Alligator mississippiensis: one gene and its partner. The protein of the gene in region 1 interacts with the protein of each later gene in a biochemical or structural test. Links are inferred from orthologs where the notes say so. Each region holds a gene or a part of one and is shown on either strand. Other genes may lie near its edges. The genes, in order: MIS18A and OIP5.

Region 1 (8,507 bases):
GTTTGGTTTTTTAAAAATTGTTTTAGTGAAAAATGAGTACAACCAATTAATACTATTAGTAGAAGGGAAAAAAAAAATCTTGCCTTCATATCTGGATTCAGGTTCATCCATAGTAAAAGTATATTAGTTCCATGGCATTTAAGGGCAGACAATTTAAAAAGAGGAGGAGGAAAACATAAAGATTTAGACAAGAGTTTTATATTTAAATAAAAATCAGGTACCATTTGAAATATGTAGCTCTAATTCCATTTCAGGGATTCTGCCCACTATGTAAATCATTTGGGGCCTGATTTGACAAAGCACTTAAGTACTTGCTAAATCAGTCACCAGAATGCCTCAATAATTTGATCAGTTATGTTGATTCAGACTACATTTAAAACTCAATATTTGGGGAAAACAAAGATTATTAGTCTCCAGGTTACATTAATATACTTGGATTTGGTGCATGACACTTAGTTTACCATCAACTAAAAATAAATATCTAAAAGGTACAGGGATCTAGTTCCCCTGCTGTGCAGTATTTTAAATACAGGATTCATAGTTCAACTTGCTTTTAAGTTTTCATAGCACTATGATAGCTGTTATAATGCATTATGAAATGATAGAGATCACGATGATGAGCTAAAGAGGAATGCCAGATTAAAGAAATAAGGAAATAAGTAGCAAATGTGTATTCAATTTGTGGCTCTTCCTAACTGATCAAAATACAGCTTCTTTTTCAATAATATATAAAAATGCACAAAAATTTCAGTGCAAACCTTGTATTTCAAGAAGGAAAGATAACTGGCAAATCTGTAAGCATATTAATCTATTGTTATTCTACTGTACAAAATAGCCAGGAATATGTCAAACCATTTATCTGCATTTCAGAACAATTTCCAGTTAATAAAGAGTTCAATAAGCTGTCTTTCCAATTAGGAGTTAATACCAAAATATTTCTAGAATATACATTCTTTATACTAAATAAAATAATATTGTACCATTAGCATCAGCTGGTATTAGAACCCAATCAGCATATATTGCCCAATATATGTATTCCAGTATGGTCTATATTACAAAGTGAAAACACATGTAAAAGAAACTAGTCATCCTATTCTGTTTTCTAATGCTTCCCATAGTAGATTAGCTGCTACATGTAGTACTTACATTTATGAACCTTCAACATCCTTCCATCTACTGGAAATGGATCAAAATAGTCCCAATAATATTCATAAGACCAGTAATACTCAGATGAGTTTGTTTTGTTAGCCATTTCAGTAGTATATTTCAATCAGCTCTGCTCTGATCTGATACTTTGTTTCATTGTACTTTGGAGTTCTCAAAAAGACACTGAGTACCTGATGCCTATGTAAATCATTCTGGAAGACCTCACATCCTGCAGCTCAAGGACTGCTCAGATACTAAAAAAACTTAGCAGAAATTAATATCAGCCTGTGACAGACATTTAATACTAAACTTATACACAGAGGGGGTTAGCCTTGTTAGTCTGAAGTCAGGCAGAAGCAGTGGCATACCAAAGGGAGTGAGGCATGGGGAGGCCATGCCCCTGGGTGCCGGACTGGTGGGGCAGGGGTACTCAGTCCCCTGGTGGCACTTCCAGTTTTGCCACTGGTGATTCCTGGCTTGGCAATTGGCCGCCGGGCCCTGCTCCCACTTAGCGTCTGGCTGTTGGGGGGACCCTCCCTCCCCACTTAGCGATCGGCCGTGGATTGGGGGGGTGCAAATGGAAGATCCATGGTACACCACTGGGCAGAAGGCAGGGAAGGGTGGCACCTGAGGGTGCCTGTACATGAGCTGGGAGGCTGCTCCAGTACACTGTAATTACAGCACATCGGAGCAGACTTGATACCAGCTGAAGCATGCTAATTAGTGTGCTCCAGCCAGCCTCCACGTCTCATGTATCAATGTCCTCGCACTACAAAATGATGGCGGGGACACTTTAACTAAAACTTGTTCAACAAGCTTTAGATAAAGCACCCCTGCCACTATTTTGAAGCATGGGGATGCTAATACATGAGATGCTCTGGGTGCTTTAATTAGAGCAGCTCTCAGAGCCCTCTCCCTCACCCCCGAACCATGTGAAAATGTCCTGAGAGACTAACTAGTTCAGAGCAGCATGAACATTTGTAGGCAACAAACTACTTTGTCAGATGCGTACCTTCTACCAAATTTATACGTGTCATCTACTGTTTAGGTAGAGAAATATGTACTACTTCCCATACTGTTTTATATTGATACAGATGCAAGGTAGACAGTAAAAGAATGAACAAAACCCAAGCTAAATTATAACTCGTCACAATGAGTGCCTAGCAACAACGAAAGAGATATTCTTGACCGGCCAAATATAAAATATACTAAAAACAATACTGAATATGTCATATACAGACCCCTAAAGGACCTCATGAAACACTTCATAAACATAAGGAAGTATTGAAGCAACTATACATTATGTATGAAATATTAAAAATGTTTGTGTTTTAACACCCCTTTGGTTCTGCCAAAAAACAACATAAAAATAGAGCCCCGCCCCATCAGCCTAGAAGCAAAATAGATTCATTTGTGTGCTAATAAATTAGATTGAGCATGTATGTTTATGTTTGTGAAGGCACTTCAAAGGTTGCCAAAAGTAACCTTTGAAGTGCCTACACTAATATAAACATACATGCTCAATCTAATTTATTAGCACAGAAATGACTAACATTAACAGAGAAACAGACCCTCTATTAGTTTTTAATTCTATCCCTAAGGACTATGAGATGCACCATGGCTTTTCAAATCAGAGATGGCAATTTATTCAGATGCAGGTCCTGGAAAACTTCATTCTCAAAGGAGACAGTCTGGTAATAGGTTTAGTCACTATAAAGCATCTGTCTAAACAATGCCACATTTTTTTTTTGCTCTGGAGCAAAGGAAATACAGTGGAAGTAGAATCTCTGCTAGCATTTCCAAAACAAACAAACTGTAAAGGAGCACTAAGGGGTAACGCATAGCATGTGCACGTGGGTGCATGTGCACCCCGTGAGCATGGCAGTGCGCCCCCTGCAAAAAGGGGGTGCAGTCCCTGCCACACCGCCGCCAGCCCATGATCACCCCTGGTCGCGGGTGGTCACTGACCTCTGGTCAGCACTCGTCACCCCTCCCCTGGCTGCCGACAGTGCCGGTGGCATCTGTGGGAGCTCCCCACTCACTGCTGCCAGGCTCCTGCTGCTGCCAGCGCAGCCGTGCCCCCCCCAGCTGCTGGGGACACGCGCTGTTCACGGGAGCACTTATTTTTAATGCGGGCTGGAAATTAGAAATAGAGCAGTTGGCATCAGGTTAGTTAAAATTAACTCTAGTCAAGATCAAAATATGCATCGATCTCTCTATCTTAGATCCTTCTGTGATCCACTTCGCAGCGAAGTATCTGAGCACCTTGCACTCTTCGACACACACATTTTCAGAACACTCCCTGCAAAGTAGAGAAGTAGTGTTTGCATTTGGTTGTTTGAAAACTGAGAAGTAAAGACTTCCACACAGACCCTACACTGTAACTGGATGTCTGAAGTCCACTGATTTCAGCAGGAGTTGGGTACAACCCTTTGAGGATCTGGGCCTCAGTGACTGGTCCAGGGTCACCAAAGAAATCTGTGGCAAAACAGAAATGGAACCCCGCAGATCAGGATAGTTCTTGGTCCATTCTTCCTTCCAGTATTTTGGGGGTTTACAAGCATACCGTTCTCTTCTTAAGAGAACATAGTGTTCTCCCCTTGGCTTTGTGAAATGCCTGTATAAACCAGGGAGACGAATGAATTGTAAAGAAGCTGTGGTAAGACTGACTCTGAATAAATGGGTATGGCATATACAAAGTAGGAAACAGAAACCAGGGAGGGAAGTAATTGTTCTCCCTTTGTCCTTCTGCTAGCCAGGCATCTTCAGGTGTTGGGAGGATGCCTGGCTAGCAGAAGGATGGCGGCATCACCCACATGTGCCACAGCTTGGGCTGCCCCCATGCCTGGGCCAGGCGGTCCCGCTGTGGGCTGCACACAAACAAAATGCCTTAGTAGACCGGATCTTGCCCACCCCCAGTCTATGAAAATGCCTGGCAGCGCTGATGGGGTGTCTGCCCTGCAAACATGTGGAAGGTAGGACTTTTATTTGTGGGTGTGGGTACTTGTTATTGGGCCAAACAGTGTCACCGACTCTCGTGATTTTTAGCGTTGTTCTTAACTTTGGGAATTTTTAAAAAGTAGCTCTCTCTCATATATAATGTTATACATAGTGTGTGTGTGTATATATTATATAAAATGTTATATTATACAGTGTGTGTGTGTGTGTGTGTGTGTATATATATACACACACACTATGTATAACATTTTATATAATATATATATAAAAGAAAAAGCTACGCTTTTCACGTTCCCGAAGTGTGGCCTTTAACAACGACTGCCCAAAATCATGAGAGTTGGCAATGCTGAAAGGCGGGCGAAGTCTTTGGGTGGAGGCAATATCTTTTATTAGACCAAATAAATAAATAAAACTCAATGTTACTGGATCAACGCCCAGTCCAGCCCCTCGGGCATGCGCATACCAGCCGTTCCCTTGCACTGACGCCCGAAACCCCTTATGGCCCGAACTGCAAGGGCGCCGGTCACGTGACGGGCAGAAAAGGGGCGGGGCGTACTCCTGTCCACTTCCGGAAGGGGAGGCGGGGCTGTGCCGTGGGGTTGAGGCTGCGGGTGCGTTGCTTCCGCTGCCGGCGCTCGCTGATTGGCTGGGGAGTGCCAGCGGCCGTTGGCCGGGTGGTTGGCTATGGCGGGCGGGCCGTTTGTACCGCCGGGCGTGGCGCTGGACTCGCAGCTGTCCGTGCTGGGGCTAGACAGCAGCTGCGGGCCCGAGGCGGCGGCGGCGGGGCGGAACGGTGGGGGGGAAGTGGAGGAGGAGGGGCAGGAGCTGCCTATGGTGTTTCTCTGCGCCGGCTGCAAGCGGCCGGTGGGCGACACGCTGAGCTGGGAGGCCAACGACGAGGAGGGGTCCTGTGTCATGCTGCGCAGTGAGTCCTGCCCTGCATCAACCCCGTCCCCCTCATCCCTGTCTGCCCGACCGTTGGGGGGCGGTTGGTGACGGTTGGCTTTCCCTTGCAGATGTCACTTCCAACGTGCTGGTGGATAAGGAGCAGAAGCTGTCCAGCCGGCCCGGCGAGTACGGCTGGTGAGTGACCCCTGCGGGGGCCGGCTCAGGGGATGGCTACCGTAGGGGGCAGAGCCAGTTGGATACATTTGAGACCTCTTAGCTGTGCTCTCTGTTTGTATAAGATGTCCGCAGTGGGGGTGGATGCGGGAAGGCCAGAAGTGGGTATTTGACTAATCTTGGTCATCCTAAAAATTCTTCTCGACGTCTGCTAATTTAGTGATAAGTATTTTGCTTGTAGCATGATTGAAACGCTGCTCTGCTCTGGGTGCTCAGTGAATCTTGGGACCATCTACAGATGCACCCCCAAACACCTGGACTATAAGAGAGATTTATTCTGTTTCAGCGTTGACGCTATTGAAAGGTAAGACCATAGTTCAGGGACTGGCAAAGTCTGGCCTGCAAGCCGGGTCCAGTCGGCTGTGGACTCCAGCTCCCAGCCGCCCCTGCCTGCATGGCTTGAGCCGGTCTCCATGGTGACCCCAGCCGCACCTGCACAGGAAAGCTCAGGCTAGGGTTGTCATGCAGACCAGCCTGAGCCATGTTGGCAGCATGTGTGACAGAGCTCTTGGGATCTTGTGATGGGGGCAGTTTGCTCCAGAGCTAGGGCAGAGCCATGATCTGTAGCCTGCACACTCTGAGCAGGGGATTGTGGCTGTGCCCTGGCTCCAGAACAGGCTGTCGCTGCTTCTAAGAGCTGGGCCTGAGCCACAATCCCCTGCCTGCACGCCTCTGCCTGGAGTGTGCAGGCTGCAGATCACGGCTCTCCTGGCTCTGGAGCAAGCTGCCCCCATCCCGTGTTCCCAGCAGCTCTGGAGCAGCCCCCTGCGCTGCTCTGCCACACATGCTGTTGGTGCGGCTCAGGCTGGTCTCCATGACAACAACCCCAGCCTGCCCTTCTACAGGGGCTGGGGTCTCCATGGAGAACCGCCCTAGCCATGAGGGCAGGGGCTGCTGGGAAATGGAGTCTGGCTGCTGGCGTGGTCATTTTGCCCACCCCTGCCACAGTTCCTCTTGTCAGGTAAGCGTGCAAGTGTTTTTGCCTTTTAATTTGATTGCTTCACTGTCAGAAATGGAGGATGTTTCTCTATTCAGGAGTTTACAACACTCGTGAAAGGGTAGGGATGGTTACTGGTTGCTTCTCTGTACTCCTTTAGTTTAAGAAATGTATTTTCTGTTTTTGCTGTCTATGTTGGAATGCTCGATATATGGAAAGATTCTGCATTTGATGTGGGGTAATCCCTGATAGTTTCATAACTTAGGTGTTCATTCATGAAATAGTTCAAATACATCGAGTGTCATTACATACACAAGACTGGAATACGGTGTCTTGGCTGCAATCCTACCCAGAAGTCTGTGTATGTAAAGACCAAGTATCAAGGTATCAAATTAGACCTAGGTGAAGACAAGCCTTTAGATATGTGGTTCTCAACCTAGGTGCCATGTGATCCTTTTAAAGGTGCTGTGGGGCACTGCAGTGCTAGCAAAGTTAAGTGCACAAACACCCACACATTTCACAAAATAAACCCAGAGATTTAAAATAGGAATCCAGTGTCAAAAACCTTCTGACCTGGTGTGATCTTTCTGTGTGTGTTGCAACAGAAGAATTGCTCTTTCAGTCATTTTTCTCTAGTTAAAAACTGACTGATATTCATTTTTTAAATAGGGTACCACTTGATTCAGGTTATGAAGGGATGTTTCGAGTCTTAAAAATGTTGAGAACTACTGCTTTGGAGGAAATGCGTCTTAACTACCCGTCTAAGGACAAAGTTAGCATGCTGAAAACTGGGTGAAGAAATACACCTTTTGGCTTCCTTGGGCTTAAATCTGGAAGGTCAGGATTGATATACCTACAGCATTAAAACCTGGCTTTCTGTAGTGTTATTAAACAGAAGGTTTTAAAATATTTTTCAGTAATTAAATCTTGGATCAATTATGTTAGCTCTTTGAATGATGTTGCTCTTTGTTCCTGTTCTCATTAACTTAGGGATTGGTTGGTTAGGTGACACTTCCGATTCAGAAGTTTGAATAGCGTCATCCACTTTTTTTGTTTTTACATGTTTTTATTCCCCCTGCGCTATGTTATCCCTGTAGTTCATTCTCTTTCTTCATGTTAATTTGTATCGGTGACAATAGGGAATTCTTGTATGCTTGTTGTATAATAGGTCTACAAAACTACATTTTCTTCTTGGCTTACAGATTGACAAACTAGCACCATCCTCTATTTCATCTAATTGCATTGACTGGTGTTATAAAAATGCCAGGTATGTGTGGTTATTTCTCATTTTGACTGAATATTACATAATTAAATATTTTATATCAGTTACATCCTAGGATCATCAGAAAAGCAAGCTGTAACTGAGGAGGAGCCTTTAACTCTTCAAAGTCGAGGTAGCTTGGAAGAGGCACTAGAAAGGGTAAGATTTAGTTTTTAAGCTGGTAAAAGTTCATTACAACTGTGAAAACATCCATACAGTGTCTCTACATAACTGCTTCTAATTTCAGCCAGTTTCAGAAAGTTAGATGTTCAGAAAACTTTCCTCCCAAGAACAGTTCTGACAAAAACAAAAGTTGCTAATTAAATGCATCTCTGGATTTCTGGCCACCTTTCTTTATAACGAGGAAGAGCACTTGTCTCCAGAGGTTCTGGTCCCTAAGTTTTCCATGCCTTAAGAATTCACGTTCATATGTAAACCAACTTTAAAATCTTCTGATATACAGAATTACAAAATAGAAACTATAGAAATGGGGTTTTTTTTGTAAATGTGACTTCTGAGTTTATGTAGAATTATGGAGGAACTAGGGGGATAAGCTGTAATTCAGATCTACTCTGAAAGGAGGCTGTATGTAAGGGGGAAAAAAAAGTAGTGAAATTGTGTTGCCAAGTGTCCAGATGCCTCTAGGATTGTGGTGGAGGCAATCATAGGTTGTTTAAATCAATTGCACAAAGCTTTGAACTTTCTTTTAGATGGAAAAAGATTGAAACAAAAGTATCTAGACCATAAATGAATTGCTTCTATTTCTTAGGTTGTTTCTGACACCTTGAAAGCAACCCATAAATGAAATTGAAAATAAAATATTATATTTTTTATCAGTGAAATACAGCCTAATTTCCTCTCTCATAGTTCAGACTTTCCTCCTTATACAGCAGTGGGACATTTAACCACCAAGTTTTCATTTCGTATGTATTGTCCCAATATCTAATAACTGTACAGAGAACCCTACAGTCCATCTTCTTTTGCTGATAAAGCATTGTTAAATAATGATTTGGAAATCAGGATAATATCTGTTCTTGTATACCTGTATTTACTCAAATCCCAGATGAGGTTCCTTCTCCCCAA
Region 2 (8,474 bases), on another chromosome or scaffold:
AGTGTTCAAATTTCCCAGCCGGTTTATGCCCACTTGTCTGCTGGTCTTAGACACAGTGGGCACATCTATATGAGATGCTATGTCACCATAGCTACAGCGACATAGCTTGTTGCTACAGCAACAGTGTCAGTGGGCATGAACTGTGACAGCGCTGCTACTGTGTAGTAGTGATGAGCGACTACCCAGTAGGGTCAGAAATGACCTGTGCAGTGCCAGGACTGCACAGTACCAGCAGTTATTTAGTAAGTACTAAATTTCTGTAATATTGCTCAAACTCTGTCTCAGTGAACTCAAAACTACTAAATGCTTTAGAATCAGCTAGATTTCTTTCTGAATTACGTTCAGAGTCTTCCTCTTCACTGGCATGCCTGACTTACAGATAGAAAGTAAAGTAAGAAACAGCAGATCCCAATAGGCTCAATGCCAGTGTTTCTTAAAGGTACAGTTCTCCACAGTGTAGTTATACTCTTAGTTTTCCCCAAGTAGCAAAACTGAAAACTGATAATTTTTGTGAGTATTGTTGCTTTCTTTATATAACAGGTAATCTAAAATAGCAGTACTCAACCCTTTGGTCCTTGAGACCAAACGAGTGGTACAGAGCTGATCTGTGGGCTAATCAGACCCTGCACCTCAGGATCATGCCCACACACCCAGATCTGGACTGTCACCTCTGCCCAGCCCCACATACAAGGATCAGGGCCCCACATCATCCCTTCATCTGGCCCCACATGCCAAGATTGCCCCCCCCATGTGTCCAATCTAGGACATAGTGCCACAGCCCACCAGGCTCCCCATAGACCCATAAGGAGCCCCACAGGTTGGATGGCAAGGCACCAGGAGCCAGATATGGCCCATGAGCTGCAGCTTGAATATCCCAATCTAGAAGATCTAATGGTTCTTTCCAAGACCACCAATTCTATGGTCCCGATTGCAAATTCAGATAACATGGGAACAACAAAGAACTCTAGCAAGATTTAAGCCAAGGACATCAAATAGTTCCAGCCCCACAGGGATCAAGCTCACAGACCAGCTGCACACACCAGAGCCAGGAAGCAGGGTTGGTCTGGTGCAGGCACCTCATGCACTTAAGCAGCATGCAGTGGCCCTGGGCCAGGGCTCACAGAGCAGGCATGAGGTACTTAATGCATGAAGTGTCCCTGTCAAACTGGCCCTGTATGCTGGCTCCAGTGTGTAGGGTCAGTCTGTGGCCCTGATCCAAACTGGCCCCAGATATAGTGCACAGGCCCAGTCTGGAGGGGCACTGCAGGAAGCATGTGCTACAGATTGGCCCCATGTGCTCTGCCTGCATTCAGTCCAACCCCACACACCACATGCAGCACATGCTGGCCCTGGTCCAGGGTTCATACTGCAAGCAAGCCCAGCATGGGGCATGTACTGCATGTGGTGCCCATTCTGGACCAGCCCTACACACTGGCTCCAGCATACAGGGATGGTCTGTAGGTCCAATCCAGACTAGCCCAGAGCTAGTGCCCAGGGCTGGTCTTCTGTGGGAACTGCATGCAACATGTACCCAAGACTGACCCCCTGTGCTACATGAGGCACTGGGGCTAGTGTGTGCCACATGTGGTATGTGGGGATTGGCCCAAGACCCACAGACCAGATCATAGAGCTCCACAGGTCAGATTCAGCCCATTGACTGTTTAAATTAGTGGGGGGGGGGGGGGGGGTCAAAGATTCAAAGACACGTTCAGGCATGGGAGATGGCATGAGATGGAAAGTCTGATGGTTATTTATTTGAGATGAGGGCTACAGCTTTATAACAAACTAGCCAATTACCGGTCACAAATGACCGGGGAGAGGGGGCTGGGATGGTGTCCCACCACCTAACGCCCCATGCTGCCGCAGTTCTGCCTCTTGCAAGGAGCAGGGTGGGGGCCTCAGCTCCCCACCCTCTGTCCAGTCCTCTGCCTGGCTTTGGAATCACAGCGGTGCTCCCCCACGCTTGGAGCACTCCGATTGACTGTTTCTGTCAGCCAATCACAGCGTGAATAAAGCGTTACCGACAGACTTAGGCTTTTATATTAGAATATTTGCCATCATAGTTATATCAATAGGAGGAGGATGACATGTGAAAAACATTGCTTGCAAAAGCCAGGTGCATCTCTACCCTGCCTTCTGCCTGACTTCAGGCTAATGGGCTAACAGCCTCTCAGAAGTCGCTGGCGCAGAAGCAGTTATTCATTGTTCATTTTCAAAATTGTTCGTTTGCTGGTATATCTTATTTTCATTTGGTCAGGGAACATTCCTTTGCTAAACCCACATACTGAGTATAATACTGATCTTAGCCTAACAGCCAAGAAGCAGCCTTTGACACTATGCGACTCAGTCATAGGAGCCACATAAGCAGTCACTGTTGACTAGAGAGCTGTAAAATAAGCACCTTTAGGTAAACTGCAACAAGGACACTCCAGTTCAAAATCAATTTCAGTGAAGAGCCAGCATGGGTATCACTGGACTTGTACATCTGTTCTGGCAAAGCTCTAACTGTAAACCTGCTCCCAGCCAGAGGCTTATTCTCAGGGAACCTTAGGTTACCACCATGAGATAGTAGAACACACGGTAGACATGCACATTAACTGCTTTAAAATTGCTTCCCTAATTGTTCTGTCTAATAAATAAACAGTAAGTCTCTTTTGAGCAGCTTTGACTCCCTGTAAACAGCACTAATAGCAGATTCCCAAAAAGAAGACAGGGCAGGGTGACACCTTAGAGACTAAGCGATTCAGAGGCTTTTGTAGGAGGCATGGAAAATACTTAATAAGATGCTATGAATAGACTGCTGGATGCCAGTTATGTCTTCTCAAACACAGACCACATCCCCACTGGACCAAACATAATGAATTATAACATCTGGGGTTTATTCCTCTATTCTTCCACCAACAACTTACATACCATCACCAGCTTACAGTGCTTACATCAGCCAGATAAAGGCAATTCCTAGGCAAAAGAATGAACAGACATCTAGCCCAGAAACTTAATGAAAGCTGGTGGCCAAACACCTCAGCCTCCTCTGACACCTCACGACTGGCCCGAGGAGCTCTTCTTAAAACAACATTTTAAATTCCCACTTCAACATAATAATTGCAGCACAAGAAGTCAGCGGCAGGCAGGACTACCTCAGCCACTGTCTCAAAGGGGACTGGCGTTTCTTATCCCATTACCTGAACTGGCTGCTTCCTCTGGTGTCCCTCCAGCTGGGAGTGAGCTGCCTCCATCTCCAGGGAGCCAATCCATCGGCTGTCAGCTTCTCTGGGCAGCCCCCCTCTCCTCACCTTTCTATTTAAATACATCTTGCTTGTGTGTCATGGAATAGTACCCTGAACATTTATGTAATATTGCTCAAACTCTACTGCCTCTTCCCTGGCACACCTGGCTTGCAGATAGAAAGCACAGTAAGAAACAACAAATCCCAATAGGCCCAATGCCAGAGCTTCTTAAAGGCACAGTTATCCAGTTTCAGGGATACAGGCTGTAGCCTATTGGTCTCTATGCTGGCAAAAGGAATTATAACTCATGGCAGACTTTTGTTAGACCAACTAGATATTTGCAAAAAATTTTTTTACTGAAACCTGAAAGCTGACACCCTGGTTTCTGCCTATTGTTGTTCCAGATAAATCTGCATCTTCACAGAGCTCAAAGCTGCCTCGGCACAAGATCTATGAATCTAAGAGAAATTCCTTGCCCAGGAGACCAGTCCATCACCGCCCTCCTGTGAGAGATGAAATGTCATCACTGGAAGGAAACATAATTCAACATCCTGCTTGACTCCAGACAGCACCGAGATAAAATGGGCTGTTCTAACTTCCACCTAAGCCTAATTTGCCAAAATTAACTATTCCAGCCAGGAGATCTTGCACCACCTTCTGCTCTCCTGCGAAATACGAATTTTCATTTCCACCGCGGAGAAACTTTACAACCTTTTCCCTCTCCTATGAGAATAAAGACAGATGCTTGCAAATATCTAAAAGAGACCACCTCTGCCAAGAGTTCCGACCCCAGTTCTCCGCCGTGTACTTGCACCCATAGCTTTCCTGCCGCCGCGCCTGAGACCCAGGAGACAGCTCCCGCCTCTTGGGACTCGGCTCGAGGTGACCCCGGGCTCCCGCAGCAAGGACCTGCGGGCGCACCGCCGGCGAAGGAGGACCGCGGCGCACACCGGGGCTGAGCACTCGACGAGGCACCGGGGCCCGGCCCCGCGCTACTACCGCCCCGGCACCTACGAGGCAGGAACACCTCCCAGCTCCCCTCCCGGGGCCCCGCTCCCACCTTGAGATTAGCGCGGAGTCCAGCGACCTTGGCCACCTGTTGCAGCTCACAATACTTGAGCGACTCCAACGGGCGCAGGGAGAGCGGCTCCATGATGGCGACGGCCCGGTCCGAGCCGCACTGAATAATCCCTACGCCGCGCGTCAACCGTCCGCTTTGAATCCGGCGCTCAACAGCCCGTCCCCGCCCCCCGTTCGAACTGGCGCTGTCCGGCTCTCCCATTGGCAGAACTGCCACGAGAGGCGGGTGCCTTAGGCAAAGCTCCGACCAATGGGGCTCCGGCGGCGCGGGTTTGTTTTTTTTCGAACGGCCTGGACTGAAAGCCCCGCCCGGCGCTACATCCTCACGATCTGATTGGACAGCAGGATGACGACAGTAGAGGAGGACTCCCTCAGGCAAGCGGCGTGGGCGTGCGGAGACAGTAAGAGAGAGAGGGAGGAGTGAGGGGAGAGATTGAGGTGTGTGGCTGCCAATGCGAGTGCAGGGCTGGGAGGCAGGCACCCAATCGAGGGAGGGGAGGTGCATTCGAACGCGCGGCAGGAGCCGGGTGCGAGAAGATGGCGGTGCGGCGGAGGCTGCTGCAGCAGTTCTTCCAGGACCCTGAGATCGACGGTGCCATCATGGTGGAGCGGCCGGCGGCGGCGGCCCCCGCGGGCAGCGCGCGGAAGGCAGCGGCGGAGGCGAGCACCGGGGCGGCGGCTCTGCGGCGGCGCCGGTTGCGGCCGCAGGACTGCGCCGTGTTCCAGTGTCGGGGCTGCTACGCCGTGCTGAGCGACTCGCTACACCTGTGCGCTCAGGAGGAGCGGCGCCTCCGCGTCCTCGCCTGCTTCAGTGAGTGCCGGCGGGGCGAGGGCCCGAGCCCGGGCCCGGCCTCGGAGCCCATTGCCTGCCTCCTAGCGAAGCTCGGACTGTCCGGGGCACTGGGCTGTGCTCGCTGCGGGGCCGCCGGGCTGAGCGCTCCGGGACAACGACACTCCCCCTGGGATCTCGCGGATGGGTGAGCAGGCGGGCGCACCTGGCCCTGCGCCCGCTGTCGGGGCCTGCCTGGGACAAGCCAGGCTCATCCGTGCTAGTTGGCACGCAGGCTTCCTGTCAGGGATTGCCCTGATGAGTCAAGCCCCCTCTGGGACCTCTCCGCTGTCTTCAGCCTGAGCCCCCGGGATCCCAGGGTAAACTGCTTTGTCCCAGAGTAAACCTCTCCTCTGGTTTTAGCCTGCCCCAGGCTGGTGGCAGGTGCCTGGTGCCCCACAGTATGGTACAGGTGTATCCAGGTGGGAGTTAGCTGCTTCCTGGTAGCCCCCCTCCTCCTCTGCAGCAAGGCAGAGCCCATGAGCATCTAGGTCTCTCCTTCAGGGAAGAGAGAGCTTCAACAGATGCACTCCTCTTTTTACCAGGGACTCACAGCGGTTACTATGGAGCTGGTGTGCCTCAGCTGTGCCCTGCTAGTTGAGTCTGTGGTCTTAGCTTTCCCATGCACCCCTCCCAGGCAGGCACAGCTCCAGTTCTTATTTCACCATCTCAAAGTCTGTCTCAGCTGCCCAGTGATTTTATGCAGTGCAGTTATACAACAGCTGCGGGGGTTGGAAAGTCCTGCGCATCTTTATCCTGGTCCAGGTTGCCTTGTATGTCCATGTCCTTTAGGCGTAGGGCACTTTTTTGCTCTGTTTCTTTAAAAACGGAGCTATCCAGCTTCTTGATGCCATAGATTTTGTTGGCAAACAAGCCCCACTGGCCCCAGGAGGCTATTTTGGCTGCCTGGTATGGCTGCTCCCTGGGTGAGGATGTCAACCACAGGCTACTGTATGAAAAAGGTGATCACATCTGGAAGTGGCTCCAGCTGCTGTGCTATGTGCTGAATGCAATGCTGACAGCGTGAGAGAGGCACGCTGGGCCTGTCTGCTGGATTCACAAATTGGGTATCCCCGGTGGCTGTAGGCTTATGTTGGGTACCAGACTGGCACTTCTATCATTGCGTAGTAGTAGACTTTTGGGCACCTCAGTAGGTGTGGAGAGGTTTTGTGGACTGTGCTCTTAGGCCTGGGCTTTTGAAGTGCATCTTAAGGCTTCTTGGATCTGGCCATAACTTTCTCCTAAATCAACAGATGTTAGAAACATGGAGATGGATCAGTATGTTTCCATTAAAACAAAGATTAAACAAATGTGACTCCTCCCAAGCCTATATACAGGAAGTCCAGAACTCAGTTATCTTAAGGGGAAATGGAAATTTTAATGAATGATCTGTGGTATATGACTCTGGATTTGTCTTTCTCAGAAGTTACAGAAGATGTTGTTCTAGAAGATTCCTTAAGAGTTGGTATTGACGGGTCCCTCCTAGGATGGTAGGTATTTCAAATACTGTTTCTTGGTTTTGATACCAGTTTTCTGTTTGAGATGCTGACCTAGTAGAGCAGGTGAGGGTTATTGTGGTGCCTCTGACTTCAAACAAGTCATCTGGAGAAACATTTTTAAAATCACTAGCTTACTCTTGGATGGGCTTACAAAACTGACAAATACTTAGTTTGGTTTCGGACCTGCCTACTGTAGTCTCTTACTGAAAAAAGCCTTTGCAAATCTACAGCATACGTTCCATTCCTTTCTTCCCCTTTCACATGCATCTAGACATTTGCTATATTTGAAGTAGGGAGAACATTTGAACAATTCTAATATAATAAAAGCGTCTGTCTGTCACACTCCAGGACAACTGCGCATGCACTGAGAGGGCACGCATCAATTGGCTGGGAGGGTCTGGAGTGTTACGGACAGGGAGCGAGGTAGCTGCCGCAGTACCCCGGCCAACAACAGCCTGTGGGGGGTAGGTGGCAGGGAAGAGGGTTGGGGGGAGGTTTCCAGTGGCAGCTGGCAATTTGCTAGCTGTAAAAAGAAACGGTATCTCCCCCATCCCCCACAAAGTCTGGGGGGTTGTGTGTGATGGGGAGAGGGAGAGAGCGTATGTTTTGGTTCTGATACCTTTTTTTGTGCTGAAAGTGAACAACTATTTATGAATCAATTGGTATAAGCAAGTCTCTAGACCAGGGGTCAGCAACCCCCGGCATGCGTGCTGAGCATGGCACATGAGGCTATTTTGCTCAGCACGCCACATCAGCTCCGTACCAACGCGTGCACCCACGTGTCGGAGCGGGTGGTGGGGTGGAACCTGAGGCAGCGCAGCCCCAGTTTCTCGCCTGCTCCTGGCACAGAGGTGATAGCAGGGTTCCAGAGCCCGGCGCAGCTGTTTGCAGCCAGCCTGGGCTCTGGGCAGCTGCAGCAAGCAGGGGGCAGGCTGCAAACAGCTGCACCAGGCTCCATAGCTCCAGCATCAGCTCTGTGCTGGCGGTGACTGCACGGGCACCTTGGGCAGGCTCTGCTGCCCCACTGTCTGCTCTGAGTGCGCATGCACTCACCACCAGGATGGAGCTGATGCTGGAGCTGTGGAGCCCAGCTCAGATGTTTGTACCCTGCCAGCTGCTTGCTGCAGCTGCACAGGGTAGGAGGGCTGGGGGGCAGGGGCTTTGGAGGGGGCACAGAACTGGGGGGCAGGGGGGGCAAGGGGCACAAACAGGGCATTCTATGTACCCCTTGCCCTCATTTTGTTTTTCTGGCATGCCAGCACTCTGGCACCTTGCAAGGTAGGCATTGTGGTGTTTTTCGGCGCTTTGGCCAAAAAACATTGCCTACCCCTGCTCTAGACGATTAGTTCTCAGCCTTTTTAGACTCAAGGCACCCCTCCATGACTGTTATGAATTAAGCAGTGCTCCACTTCAAAACTAATTTATCACAGTTCTTACTTCCTTGCAGAGGGAATAGTAGTGGGAATGGAGGCTTTGCCAGGGAGGGAAAAGTCAGGGTACATTTTCACCTTGTAGACCAGAGAGGGAGACCCTGAGCCACGGGACCCTGGCTGAAAATCATTATTCTAGACAGCAGTGTTTCTGCACTACCAGTTCTGGAGTGAAAGGAAGGACATAATTTCAAGTTATTCAAAGCTCTGCAGAAAAGGAGATAATTGGCAAAGGCCTACATGCTCTATATACTTTTTTTTTTTTTTTTAATTAGATTTTATGTGATAAGAAATTGAGCTTGACTGGGATTGCTGCTTTTAAAGATGGGTGGCATACATTTCTGTTGTCTGCAAGCTTGGAGAGACTGCATAGGTTAAGTATTGTATTTAATTCATATTTGGACAGCTT

Evidence for each region.
Region 2: the proteins of MIS18A (region 1) and OIP5 form a complex in vitro, tested with the Homo sapiens proteins (3 studies listed by BioGRID). The link is inferred for Alligator mississippiensis from reciprocal best matches to the Homo sapiens genes MIS18A and OIP5.

What each region holds. Positions count from the first base shown.
Region 1 is NC_081824.1:291,156,612-291,165,118, reverse strand, and holds the start of MIS18A (protein Mis18-alpha), read left to right. Parts: upstream 1-4,726; 5' UTR 4,727-4,788; coding exon 4,789-5,029; intron 5,030-5,120; coding exon 5,121-5,187; intron 5,188-5,407; coding exon 5,408-5,530; intron 5,531-6,832; coding exon of another isoform or gene 6,833-6,959; exon of another isoform or gene 6,960-7,000; intron 7,001-7,489; coding exon 7,490-7,583; intron 7,584-8,507. Other genes in the region: MRAP (melanocortin-2 receptor accessory protein), read right to left, coding at 1,147-1,252. UniProt on the Homo sapiens protein: Required for recruitment of CENPA to centromeres and normal chromosome segregation during mitosis.
Region 2 is NC_081825.1:239,936,947-239,945,420, forward strand, and holds the start of OIP5 (protein Mis18-beta), read left to right. Parts: upstream 1-4,613; 5' UTR 4,614-4,844; coding exon 4,845-5,118; intron 5,119-6,559; coding exon 6,560-6,626; intron 6,627-8,474. Other genes in the region: NUSAP1 (nucleolar and spindle-associated protein 1), read right to left, coding at 4,288-4,509. UniProt on the Homo sapiens protein: Required for recruitment of CENPA to centromeres and normal chromosome segregation during mitosis.